Arabidopsis thaliana: one gene and its partner. The protein of the gene in region 1 interacts with the protein of each later gene in a pairwise test. Each region holds a gene or a part of one and is shown in the gene's direction. Other genes may lie near its edges.

Region 1 (6,052 bases):
CTCTTTCACAAAAAACAAAAGAAATTGCTGAGAGCTTTCTAGAATCCAACTTGATCATTTACACTTTTTATTAGATGCTATAGCATCTATTTTAGAGACTATGTAGTGAGTTAATTAATCATTTCAATGTCCACTATCCATTTTCTTACACTAATCTATACCACACATGACTCCATTTACCTCGTCGGTAGAATTTTTTAATACAGTTTCAGTAATTGCTAATCACAAATGAAAAAAATACTTAGAACATTGGAAATTAGTAAGAATACAATTGATTTTGAATGAAAGAATCAGCCTCGAGCGTGATTTAGAAAAATAAAATAATTGATAAGATTTTGAATAATTAAACTGGGAAAAAAAGAAGAAAAAGAAGACAGTGTAAAGAAAGAAAGAAAAATTGAAAAGAATAAAAAAGAAGAAGCAAAACGCGAGAGACCGACGCAGTTTTGGCAAACACGCGTCTGTCTAGCAGTAAACGCACTGCTCCGACACAACACTCTTCAGTGTTCGCATACTTCGCTCTTCTTATTTCACTCTCACATTCTCACATTCTTAAAAAATTATTTATTGTACTTGTGTTATAATTATCTTCCTTCTGACTTTTTTTTAGTCTGATAATTAAGTTTACGTCGGTATTGACTCCTAGTCTCCTATGCTGGATTAAATATGACGTCTATTACAAAAACCTTCAACAGTTCAAATCAAGATTGAAACACTTTCTCATAGCAATTTACCTTTTGCTATCCCAATTTTGCAAGTTTTGACTTTCAGCATATTAGCCGAAAACAAATGTTGCAGTCTTGCAGATGAGATATAGATATATATAGCTAAATCAGGTATACTTAATTCTCAGAAATATGTAATATCTTGGTATTAAGTATTCACTCTGTAATTTCCTGTTAATGAATCAATTTAACGACAAAATAAACATGACGGATATTAGTTATTTTCTCATTTCAAAGTAAATTATTTTAGAAAATAATGTTTTATTAGTTCCTCAAAACAAAAACTAGTGATGAAATAGTAAAATCACAATTCCAAAAAAAATGCTTAAATTATTATTTATCGACTGAGAATAAGAACATTTTTCTTTGTTAGAGCTCTAAAAACTATATAATTTGCTATATACTATATATATATATATATATATATTTTTAAAACATATATAATTTGCTATCCTATAAGATATTCTTTGTTTGTGAGAAAAACTAGAAATATATATATATATATTTTTTAAAATAGAGATATATTACCTATAAAAGACATGTAATATCTCTCATAAAATATCTACATAAACTAACCAGTAATCAGCATTAAACAACTCTTTCCGTTTATTATATTTGTGTCTTTACAGTTTCTTAAACCATTATATTAAAAAAAAACATTAAATATATTACGTCAATAACAAAACTTACGAAAAAAAACAAAATCTTATTAATGGCTGTTTTCGAAAAGCTTTATCACTCACCGCACAATTTTAAAAGGGTTTATTTTAGTTGTTATGCCTAACGTCCTCGTGATCTCCAAAATTTCATTTAATCCATATTTAGCTAATTATCTTCTTAGATAAATACATAATGCAAAAAAAAGGTCATCAACACATTCGATGTATAAATAACCAATTTAATTTTTATTTGCAATATGACTAGATTTTTGGTGTACTTGTAAATTTGTAATGACGTAATCATGTCCACATTTTCTAATTTTTTTTTTCTTTGCTATCTATATAAATATACAATTATGATTATTATGTAATAATAAATATCGCAATCCACTCTTTTTTAATTCAGCTAGATACGAGTTGTCTTTTTTTATTAATTATATAATTTATTTATTTGTGTTAGAAAGAAACAAAAGTCTTCAGTTTCATACTTGAGGGGGGTTTTGGTTTATTAAAAAATTGGAAATTAATAACATAATAAATCAAATAAAAAAAGGATCAGAGTGAGTGAAAGAGAAAGAGAAAGAGAAGAAGCGTTTCGTCCTCTTCGTTTCCTTCTTCCATTAATACAAAGCAAATCCTACTCTGAAAGCTTCTTTATTCAACCTCTCTACTTCAGTTTCTCTGTCCCCATTTTTCATCTGAGAGTTAAAACTGTAACCTCAAAATCTGAGATAAAGTCAAAAAAAAAACCCCAGTTTATGATTCTCATTTTCTCTTTATAATCGAAAGCTTCGATTTTTAACAAAACCCAGAATCTGTGTTCTTGTTTTTTTTTTTTTTTGGTGAGAGTTATCTTTTTTTTTTTTGGAATATTGGGTGAGAATCTGAGTAATGGGATTTACATAAAAAGATTCTATGTAAATACTAAAATAATCTGGAAATTATTAAATTTCCAAACTTTGTGTTCCATTTTGTGGACTCAAATTTGTTTATAAAGATCTCAAATCAGAGAGATTGAGACGACCAAGAACAAGCAGAAGAAGAAGAAGAATTGAGAGAATGTGGTGGTGGTCTTCTTCAACTAAAGGTCGTTCGAATCTGGAGAGGTTTCTTTTAGGAATCACTCCTAAGCCTCCTTCCTTCTCTCTTCCTCAGGTAATTTTTTTTTTTTTAATTCTTCATTCTCTTAGACTAATCCTTAATTTGGGGGTAAATTAAGGTCTTAAGCCTCAACTAATCAAATTTTAAAAAACTATTTTAATCGATTGTCTCTCCCCACAAATCTCTCGTCTCTAATCAGCAGATTTTGTCCTAAAGGTCTTATTTTTAATCAAGGGTGATGTATCAGACAACCTAGAACTTGTAATAGTTTAATGATTTGGTGTGAGTTTTCAGATGAGATTTGGGCTATAGAGACAATAATTGCATGGTCCATCAAGGAGAAAAATTATCTATGAAATCTATATCCAATTTAAATGGTGTCACATCAGTTTATGGATTCTATAACACCACGTGGAAACGTGCGACAGAATTGCTTTACTCAACTATTTTTTATATTACTATTATATTCAGTAATCCATTAGCTAAGTACTGAGTTTTGGTTGAATCTTCTTGGTTGCTTTGGTATATCCTCTGGTTCTGTATCATTACAAGGTTGTCTTATTCAGTAATCTTGGTTTATATCTCTGATTATGGATTAAGAGCTCAATACATGTTGGTCTAATAACCTAAAGATCATGTTGTTGCATTTACATTTTGGGGGTAATTAGGAGTTAATGATAGCTAGATTATCAGCTAAACATTGGCTTTCAGTGTGCTGCTTTGTAGTGTGTTAGTTTCAGAGCTTTGTGAGTTGATGATATTAACAATTTGTGGCAGGAACAGGGAAAGGAGGAGATTGAGTATTTCAGGCTTGGTGATCTCTGGGATTGTTATGATGAGATGAGTGCGTATGGCTTTGGCACACAGGTTGATTTAAACAATGGCGAAACCGTTATGCAGTACTACGTCCCGTACCTATCCGCTATCCAAATCCACACTAACAAACCCGCCTTGCTTTCCAGGTTACGTTTCCCACTTGATTCTGTGACATTTTAGTCTGTTGTGATGAAAGTTTGACTATGGAAGTATTAGAACATCTCTTGATGGTTTGTTCTTGGGTGTTGCAGGAACCAGAATGAGGTGGCTGAATCTGAGAGTAGCGAGGGTTGGAGCGATAGTGAGAGTGAAAAGTTGTTGTCAAGGTCAATGAGCAATGATTCAAGCAAAACATGGGATGCTGTCTCTGAAGATTCGGTTTTCGATCCGGATGGTTCACCGTTGCTGAAAGATAGACTTGGTAACCTTGACTTTAAGTACATTGAAAGAGATCCTCCGCACAAGCGGATTCCCTTAACCGACAAGGTTCTCTTCTCTCCTTTCATTTTCATTTCTTAGTAACCTCATTCTCAGTTTTGAAACGAAAGTAACGTTCTTGGTTCTTGTTCAGATAAACGTATTGGTGGAGAAATATCCGGGACTCATGACCTTAAGGAGTGTCGACATGTCTCCTGCAAGTTGGATGGCTGTTGCGTGGTAAGTAGTTCTTTGTTAAGTTAACAAAACCCTTCCTGTTTGGTTAACTGCTAGAAATAGTGATTGAGTGATGGTTTGATGAATTAGGTACCCGATATACCACATCCCAACCTGCAGGAACGAGAAAGATTTGACGACAGGCTTCCTAACTTATCATACTCTATCTTCGTCTTTTCAAGGTACGTATGATCACTTCGAATTCATTGCTCAGTAACAAGCACCATTTTCTGGTTTTATTAATGGTGTTAAAAATGCTGCAGATAATGTGGTGGAAGGAGATCAAAGCAACAACAATGAAGAAACAGAGTTTTGTGAAGATTCCGTAATAAACAAGAGAATGCCATTGCCTCCGTTTGGTGTAACAACTTACAAAATGCAAGGAGATCTTTGGGGGAAGACGGGGTTTGACCAGGACCGGTTGCTTTATCTTCAAAGCGCTGCGGATTCATGGCTGAAACAGCTCAATGTTGATCACCATGACTATAACTTCTTCCTTAACTCGAGCTTCTAAAGATCAATCGGGTCGTTCGTATGTTTATCCTTCTCCAAACCTTAAACAAAAAAAAAAGACCTCATAACCCTTTTTCTTTGTTGTTTTCAAGCTCCTTTTGTTTCTCTGTGTTTTTTGTTCTTTTTGTTTTTGTCTGGCTCGTTGTGTTGTTTTAGGTAGCAACCGCCATCGCGGAGTTTTTTCTCCTTTTGCAAGCCAATCATGGAAGTTTCTAAGAAGAAAACAGAGCTTTTTTTTCTTTTTTTTTAACGGTGTTGAGAAAACAAGAAAGTTGTTTTCTTTTCTTGGGTGAGAGATCATGTAAATTGACCTTGAACAGAGGACTCTGTTTTGTACTTTTCTGTCTAAAATATATAAAAAAATCTGTCTTTCTTGTATGTCGGTATGAGTGGAAGAAGAAGACTGTTTTTGATAGATTTGATATGTCCTTTCGTTTCTTTTCAAGATTTTTTAGTGTTGAATATGATGACGATGTTGTCATACAATATTTACTTAGTAACAGTTGTTGCATACTTTTTTTTCTATGTTCTTTATAATTTAATTTAAATTGTTTCTATGTTCTTTTCGAAGCTTAAAAGAATTGTGCAATCCCAAACTGAAACAGTCAAACTTACTAGTTCAACAAAATTGTTTTGCTATATCGGGCTGATATTTACTGTCGAACACAGGTAAAAAAGTATTTATTTTATTTTTTTGTTGAACACAGGTAGGTATATGCCTACATGGTATACAAATAATATAGACAGTTTCATAACATTTACAATTGTAACATACTGTTTTTACAATTTTTGTTGTCGTTTTCTTATTTATCGTATTAAAATTGATCTTATCCTGAATTTTAAAATTTAGATAACTGACAAACGAAAAGATTAATGCTAATTGTATATGAAATGAAATGTATTGTTGTACATTTTAAATTATATAGACAATTTAATGATATTTACAATCACAACCGATCGTTTTGTCAATTTTTGTTGTCGTTGTATTATTTATTGCATTTATATCGATCGAACCCTAAATTTTACATGTAATTCACTTACAATCAAAAATAATTAATGCTAACTTTATATGAAATTACATGTAGTAAATTTAAAATTATATTGACAATTTCTTCTTTGCATTTTTGTTGGCATTTTCTTATTTATTGCATTCAAATCGATTAAACCCTGAAATTTAACATGTAGATCATTAACAATCAAACATAATTAATGGTAACATTAACATGTAGTAAATTTAAAATACAATACACAATATTTTGATATAATTTTGAGTTTAACCAAATTATCCAACCTATAAAAACACATGCAATGGATTCTTGAAATCTTTATGTCTTTAGCGATTTGAAATGAATTTATGTAGATTTTCATGTGTACACACAATAAGTAATAAAATCTAAATTATCATCTACTTAAAATAAAAACATAAAATTTAATCATAAAATCAATACTAAATATATCAAATCAGTAAACAAAAAATCCTATTTCATATTAATATGTTAAGAAATAAACTTTTATGATTTTTTTTTTCCAACCACTACATTTATGGTTGTTTTTCAAATGTTTTCTTATGATTTTCTGAGTCAA
Region 2 (6,490 bases), on another chromosome or scaffold:
AATCTGTTTTAAGAGCATTGGGAATAATGTGAGATCTGCTAGCAGCGTAACCCTCCTGCAAAAATCCAAGGAGCAGAGCTTTTTAACTTTGTACCTTCAGATCAGTTTCTTCAGAGATCAAAGCTGTGAGAATCTAACTACTATTTACCTTAACTAGTGCACTCATCATCTTCTTCAACGGAGGTGAGTTCATCTTCGCACGGCTCGCCATCTAATCACGAAAACAAATCTTTTATCATGTAATGTGAATGAAATGCGTCTATCTTATCAATGAAATTAAAATCATGGTTTTAGAGGACCTCATCCATTTTTGTGTATCCAGGTGGTAGTCTGGGATCACTTTCTTCAATCATTATACTGAGAAGCTTGTCCAGATCCATGCCAGTGCCTTCACTGACCCATCCCCATTCCTTTGCCAATTCCAGCATTTCCGTAACATAGGATGCATCATGAAGCGGTCCGAGCCACATTGGTCCTGACACAACCAGTGAAGAAGAAGCCTTTGTATCACTGCAGGGACATCCCATCAAACCAAGTTCATCGAATCTCAATGTATGAGAATGGCCACATAGATTACAGTGCGTGACAAAACCATAGTTCCTACAGTTAAAAGACACAAAACAACTCCAATTAGAAACGCAACATAACCAAAACTCAATTCCTTTCGAGTCAAATTCTAAATGTAGAAACAACCTGTCCTCATGTAGCTTCCCACGGTGAACCCTCAGCATGACTCTAAACACAGGTCCGTGATAAGAATAGTACGAGAAAAGAGGCGTAACATGATAACCAAGCAGAGCAGCTTCTCTCACTGCTCCACCTATAAGCATCCGCAGCCCAATCTCATTCCCAAACGGCATTGGTCGAATAAATGCTCCATAAGCTGCTAAAGAACTACACCAAAACAAACCAAGAAATTTTTCAACTTTCAATCTCCTAGTCCCTAAATCATATCATGATTCCTAAAATACCACAAAGACTAATGGTATTGCTTTCACTCACTTATAAGGTCTGTGACCACCAGAAGAGTAACCATCAGTCGACGTCAAGTAAAGCAAACCACCCAATCTCAATGCATTAAACGCATCTCTCAAAAACGAAGAATCACTTCCAAACGAATCAATATCAATCATATCGAAGAAATCCGCAACCATATATCTCTCAATCATCGCTTTATTAGCCAACATATGAGTCACAACCCATCTCCTCTCATCTCCAGTACCTCTCTCTACTTTACTCAAATTATCCGTAATCACTCTCCGATTATCATCATTTGCGTCGTTCGCCATCACGAAATCAGCTTCAGCTTCCACAAGATAACGAAGCGACCTAATTCCACATCCGCACATTGCGTCGAGTACCCGTAAGCTTCCATTAGATCTCTTGTATAGCGTCGCTGACAAAACACCGAGGTCTCGTCCTCTAGCGCTTTCATGGCGGAAAAATGTCTCTCCCGTTTCAAATTCGAGATTCCTCTCAATTTGAACCTCGGATTTCACTAAAATTCGATCAAAACTACATTTCAAGCTCTTGAATCGACATGAATCTGGAGATTTACATTTAGGGTTTTGCGATTTGTGCACAGTGAAGAAGGAAGAAGAAGATAGGGTTTTAGGAGAGAGAGTCAACAACATAGCGGGAAAAAAAAAATCTGATTGTTTTGCTTGATTTTTTTTTTTAATCGTCTATCTAAATTAGTCCGTCCGATATTATGCCACGTGTACGGAAGAGATAAAAACCTCGTATTAGTAGGCCACGTCGTCAATCTTATGATTAGTTGGGTCCCACTTGTGTAATCGTCTATACTCGAGTCCACCTAAAGATACGATACACTTTTTTCCCTTTCATGGAATTGAGTTTCTACTGTTTCTGGAATTCTGGGTTTTGGAATTTGGAGAAATTAGGGTTTTTGTTGAATCATTCAAAAACATTGACCATGAAGATCATAGAGACTAAGAGTCTCCAACAAGAATGAAGAAAATCTATTTTTTTTCTTGGGTTGAAAATTATTTGAGAGGAGCAGGTGAAGTTAATTTTTTTCTCATTGATACAAAAATGGCAGATTGTTTTAGAGTCTCCACTATTATGAACCTTCCATAATTTTTTATTTTATTTTTGCTTATATTATCCCTTAATTTTTTGTCTTGGTGATAATTCTCTTTCTCCCCTCAATTAAAAAAAAGTTTATAGTATCGGTTTCTCTTCTCCTGATCAATGAATACAAATCGGTATTCGTAAACAATCCCTTCCGTTTCATTTTACTGACTCATATCTGTTTTTATCTGGGTTTTTATTTCTTTTCCCCTTTGTGTTTCAAAAAAGTTTTTGGTGTAACGTTTATTATCCATAAGATCCAAAAAAAACTAAAGCTGGAAATTTTGTTTCGAGGTGAGATAATCTTTGCTTAATCTTTAGGAATCCAATGAATACAAGCTTAATTTGCCTCTTAATCCTCGTTATCGGAGAAAGCAAAATGATGTTTCGTGTGAATCTCGTTTTTTGATTTTTGGGGTTTTCTCTTTTGTCTTAATCCATCTTCGTGGTCCTTGTGAAGCTTAAAGATGAAAACCAAAATGTCATATTTTTTTTCGTGTGAAAATGTCGATTCGTTACAAATCTTAAACCCTGTTCCAAGTTTTGATTTTTTTTGTTTGTTTGTTAGCAGGAATTAAAGCTTCTTGAATATTCAAAGATTAGCCCAAAGAATCTCTGGACAACTGGTCTAAAACCGCAGGTACGCCTTTCACTACTTAAACCTCTCAATTTTGTCAACAAAAAAAAATGATTTTGGAAGAGACAGAGCTGAGACTTCTGAGCTAATAGTCATTTTTTCCTAAGGTATAATCATCACTCACGCAGGATAGTTTAGCTGTTTTGTTTTGTTTTCCTTTATAAATATTCGATTTTGCTCTGAGAAGCTAAACATTAGGGTACCTACCTAACACTGAATTCACTATTGGCATGCTCTGTTTCATTTTTTTATGTCTCTTGCTTAGGATGTAATCTCACTCACTCTCTGGATTAGCCTCGATTGTTCTTAATCAAATTTGGGAGCTCTAGTTATTAGACAATCAACTTTTACCTTGACTTCATTTTTTTCTTTTTCTCTGTCTAATGTGATGACAAAAAGGCCAATTTGAAATATTTTGTAATTCTGTTTGTTCTGTTGTTTGTAGATATCATAATTATATAAGGGGCTCATTGAGTTGTTGAGGATTCCTGTGTTATCACTCTGATGTTAGTTTGAAGTTATGCGCACATGGGTGAAATTCAAGAAAGATTGTCAGTTTCATCATCTTCGTCTTCTTCATCATCCTCATTGTCACTATCAACGGCACTACCTAAAGGAGATTCATTGCCGATAGATGCAGATTCTTGGATGATTGCAGAGGAGAGAGCTCATGAGATACTTTGCACTATCCAACCTGCCCTTGTTTCAGACAGAAGTAGGAATGAGATCATTGATTATGTACGAACTCTTATCATGAGTCATGAGGGAATTGAGGTTAGAAACTCCGCTTCTCTTTGCTGACATGTTAAAGATTTATGCTGTTTTGTTAACTTTCTATGGGAACTTGTTTATCTACAGGTCTTTTCATTTGGTTCAGTGCCACTAAAAACCTATCTCCCGGACGGGGATATCGATCTGACTGTCCTAACTAAGCAAAATATGGATGACGATTTTTATGGACAATTGTGCAGTAGGCTTCAGAATGAAGAAAGAGAATCTGAATTCCATGCAACAGATGTTCAGTTTATCCCTGCACAGGTCTCTTTGTTTATTTACTTTTTGGTTTCGTTTTTGTATTTTCTTGGTTGCCCAAATTTTCCTTAAGAAAGTTTGCTGATATATGATAGGTCAAGGTCATAAAATGCAATATCAGGAACATTGCTGTTGATATCTCTTTTAATCAAACGGCAGGTCTCTGTGCTTTATGTTTTCTGGAGCAGGTACTATCAGCTATTCAAAATCAGGCTCCAGAGGTTTACTAAACAGATTATTGCCTAGCTTTGATTCTTAGTTGTTGGTTAAACTCTGGTTTTATGTATTCTCAGGTTGACCAACTCTTTGGGAGAGATCATCTTTTCAAGCGTAGCATCATCCTTGTCAAAGCTTGGTGCTATTACGAGAGTCGAATTCTTGGTGCTAACACTGGATTGATCTCAACATATGCATTGGCAGTACTAGTTTTGTACATCATCAACCTGTTTCATTCATCTTTATCTGGCCCTTTAGCGGTAATCACTCTTTTTCTGAACCTTCAGCATCCTCTACATATATGCAAAAGATGAGAATATAGCATTGTCTTTCAACAGGTTCTGTATAAGTTCTTGGATTACTATGGTTCATTTGATTGGAACAACTACTGTATCAGTGTCAATGGTCCTGTGCCAATATCGTCCCTTCCAGAACTTACAGGTAAGGATGATGCCAAAAATCACAGATACTTCTCTTCGTGGCATTTTCTTGGCGCTATTTGACGTTTTAATTTGGTTCTTTCTCTTTCTATCTTTCCAGCAGCATCTCCAGAAAATGGGCATGAGTTATTACTTGACGAGAAGTTTTTAAGAAACTGTGTAGAGTTATATTCTGCTCCAACTAAAGCTGTTGACTCAAATGGTCTTGAGTTTCCTATCAAACATCTCAACATAGTTGATCCTCTAAAATACAGCAACAACCTCGGCAAAAGTGTTACACAAGGTACTCTATTGATAAAAGTTATACAACCAATATAGCAGTTGTCAAATATTAATTATTTTAAAAACATTTTGTTAGGAAATGTCCAACGAATAAGACATGCTTTTACACTTGGAGCTCGAAAGCTAAGAGATGTTCTTTCACTACCTGGTGACACCATGGGATGGAGATTGGAGAAGTTCTTTCGTAACTCTTTGGAGAGAAATGGTAAGGGACAAAGGCAAGATGTGAATGATCCCGTTACTGCTTTCGGTACTGGAAGATCAGAATTATCTGAACTTAGTGGAGATTTCGATAGTTCCTTTGGAAGACTTGTGTATGGGCAAATGTATCATGGGCATAGCTTACCTGGAACATTTCAGCATGGCTATATCCCGGTTAGTTCTCACCTGAGTGGTTGGGATATTGTTCGTCACCTTGTGACTTACCGAAAGAACGAGTTCCATCTTAGAAGTCTCAATGTATCAACCTCTATGCAGCCTTTTCCTTTGCATTCTTTACCTAATGGCTGTCAAAACATGAGAAAGACGAGAGGAACCGGCACTTATATTCCTGACATGGTATGCGATTAACCCCTTTGACGGACATTTTGGCTTAAAAATTAACTTATTGCTGCAAGCTTCTGAATTGCTTCTCAATGGTTGTTGCAGAGTCAACAGGTATACTCTGACAGGTTCAGAGAATCAGGTACTGGAACCTCATCAACGAATCATTTAGAAGCTTCCTCTGAGGCAATAGACAATGATGGAGCCAGTAGTTGCTGCAATCTTTCCGGTGAAGTGTCTACTTCTTGTACCAGTAACAAAGGAGAAGAATGTGTGAGACCAGAGAGTGTGCTGAAATCTCAAAGATCTGCGAATTTGGAGCTTGATGACAATTGCCAATTTCCACCACCAGAAAACCTAGTAGAACCTAGAACTTCAAGCACATTGGTATTGGAAAATGGCAAAGAAGAGAGTATCAGATCCTCCCAAACCATGAACGGCTCTTGACTTTTAGTGACTGTGACCGAAGCTTTGGTTGTTATCTTGACACCTTCAGGATTACTAGGTTCTCTTAACCACATGGACAAACTCTATTTAGTATTCAAAACTCTATATAGGATTCAAAAGATCCATCAGGAACTTGTTTTGACCAATGTTTCATTAGAGATCTCTTCTTCATTGTTGGTAGGTCAGAATATACAAAAGTGGTATAGATTAAGAGTTGATTTGGCATTTGTCTTTTCTTTGGAATCAAGATCCTTCAGACTTTTTATCTAAATTTTTATATGAGATTCAGTTTTACTTCTTGTCACTTCTGGCAATTTGTTTAGAGAGTGACAAACATTTAAAGTTGTCCGGGTAACAACAGGTTTCACGTTTTACAAGATACACGAGTATACAGAAACACAAAGGCAATCTCTGTTCTTTGGGATTTGAATGCCTCACAATAAAGAACTATACATCAGAGTGTGATACTGTCTGGGGAGTGAGAACGTACATATGACAGTCGTGTGCGTCAACTTGAGCTTCAAAGGAGCCAGAAGTATTCTCTGTTACATCTTTGTGCTGCCACAAATCTCTTACTGAAACGCTAATGGTAGATTCAAGACCGATCATATCCCATGATGCTGTAATAGTTGCTGGCTCAGAGCAACGGTTCCAGAGAGCAACTACCATACGGTCACCAGATAAAGGTCCTGACCACACCTGCAATGAAACAGTTATCACCAATTTGAGTCCTTGAGTTTGTTTTTTCTGCTTTCTCTATGAGTTTGATAATTCTGTGACTCCCAATTCATACCTGCTG

What was found. The genes of interacting proteins can lie anywhere in the genome.
Region 2: the proteins of AT1G73210 (region 1) and AT3G56320 interact in a two-hybrid assay, tested with the Arabidopsis thaliana proteins (one large-scale study listed by BioGRID).

What each region holds. Positions count from the first base shown.
Region 1 is NC_003070.9:27,526,845-27,532,896, reverse strand, and holds AT1G73210 (hypothetical protein (DUF789)), read left to right. Parts: upstream 1-1,944; 5' UTR 1,945-2,443; coding exon 2,444-2,539; intron 2,540-3,262; coding exon 3,263-3,447; intron 3,448-3,552; coding exon 3,553-3,787; intron 3,788-3,872; coding exon 3,873-3,958; intron 3,959-4,045; coding exon 4,046-4,137; intron 4,138-4,218; coding exon 4,219-4,469; 3' UTR 4,470-4,843; exon of another isoform or gene 4,844-4,921; intron 4,922-5,137; 3' UTR 5,138-5,145; downstream 5,146-6,052.
Region 2 is NC_003074.8:20,885,394-20,891,883, reverse strand, and holds AT3G56320 (PAP/OAS1 substrate-binding domain superfamily), read left to right. Parts: upstream 1-2,080; 5' UTR 2,081-2,388; intron 2,389-2,581; exon of another isoform or gene 2,582-2,665; 5' UTR 2,666-2,734; exon of another isoform or gene 2,735-2,930; intron 2,931-3,176; 5' UTR 3,177-3,259; coding exon 3,260-3,505; intron 3,506-3,589; coding exon 3,590-3,769; intron 3,770-3,858; coding exon 3,859-3,951; intron 3,952-4,056; coding exon 4,057-4,239; intron 4,240-4,317; coding exon 4,318-4,420; intron 4,421-4,519; coding exon 4,520-4,702; intron 4,703-4,777; coding exon 4,778-5,259; intron 5,260-5,349; coding exon 5,350-5,691; 3' UTR 5,692-5,990; downstream 5,991-6,490. Other genes in the region: AT3G56330 (N2,N2-dimethylguanosine tRNA methyltransferase), read right to left, coding at 1-55, 149-211, 300-600, 694-894, 1,003-1,634; AT3G56310 (Melibiase family protein), read right to left, coding at 6,139-6,390, 6,485-6,490.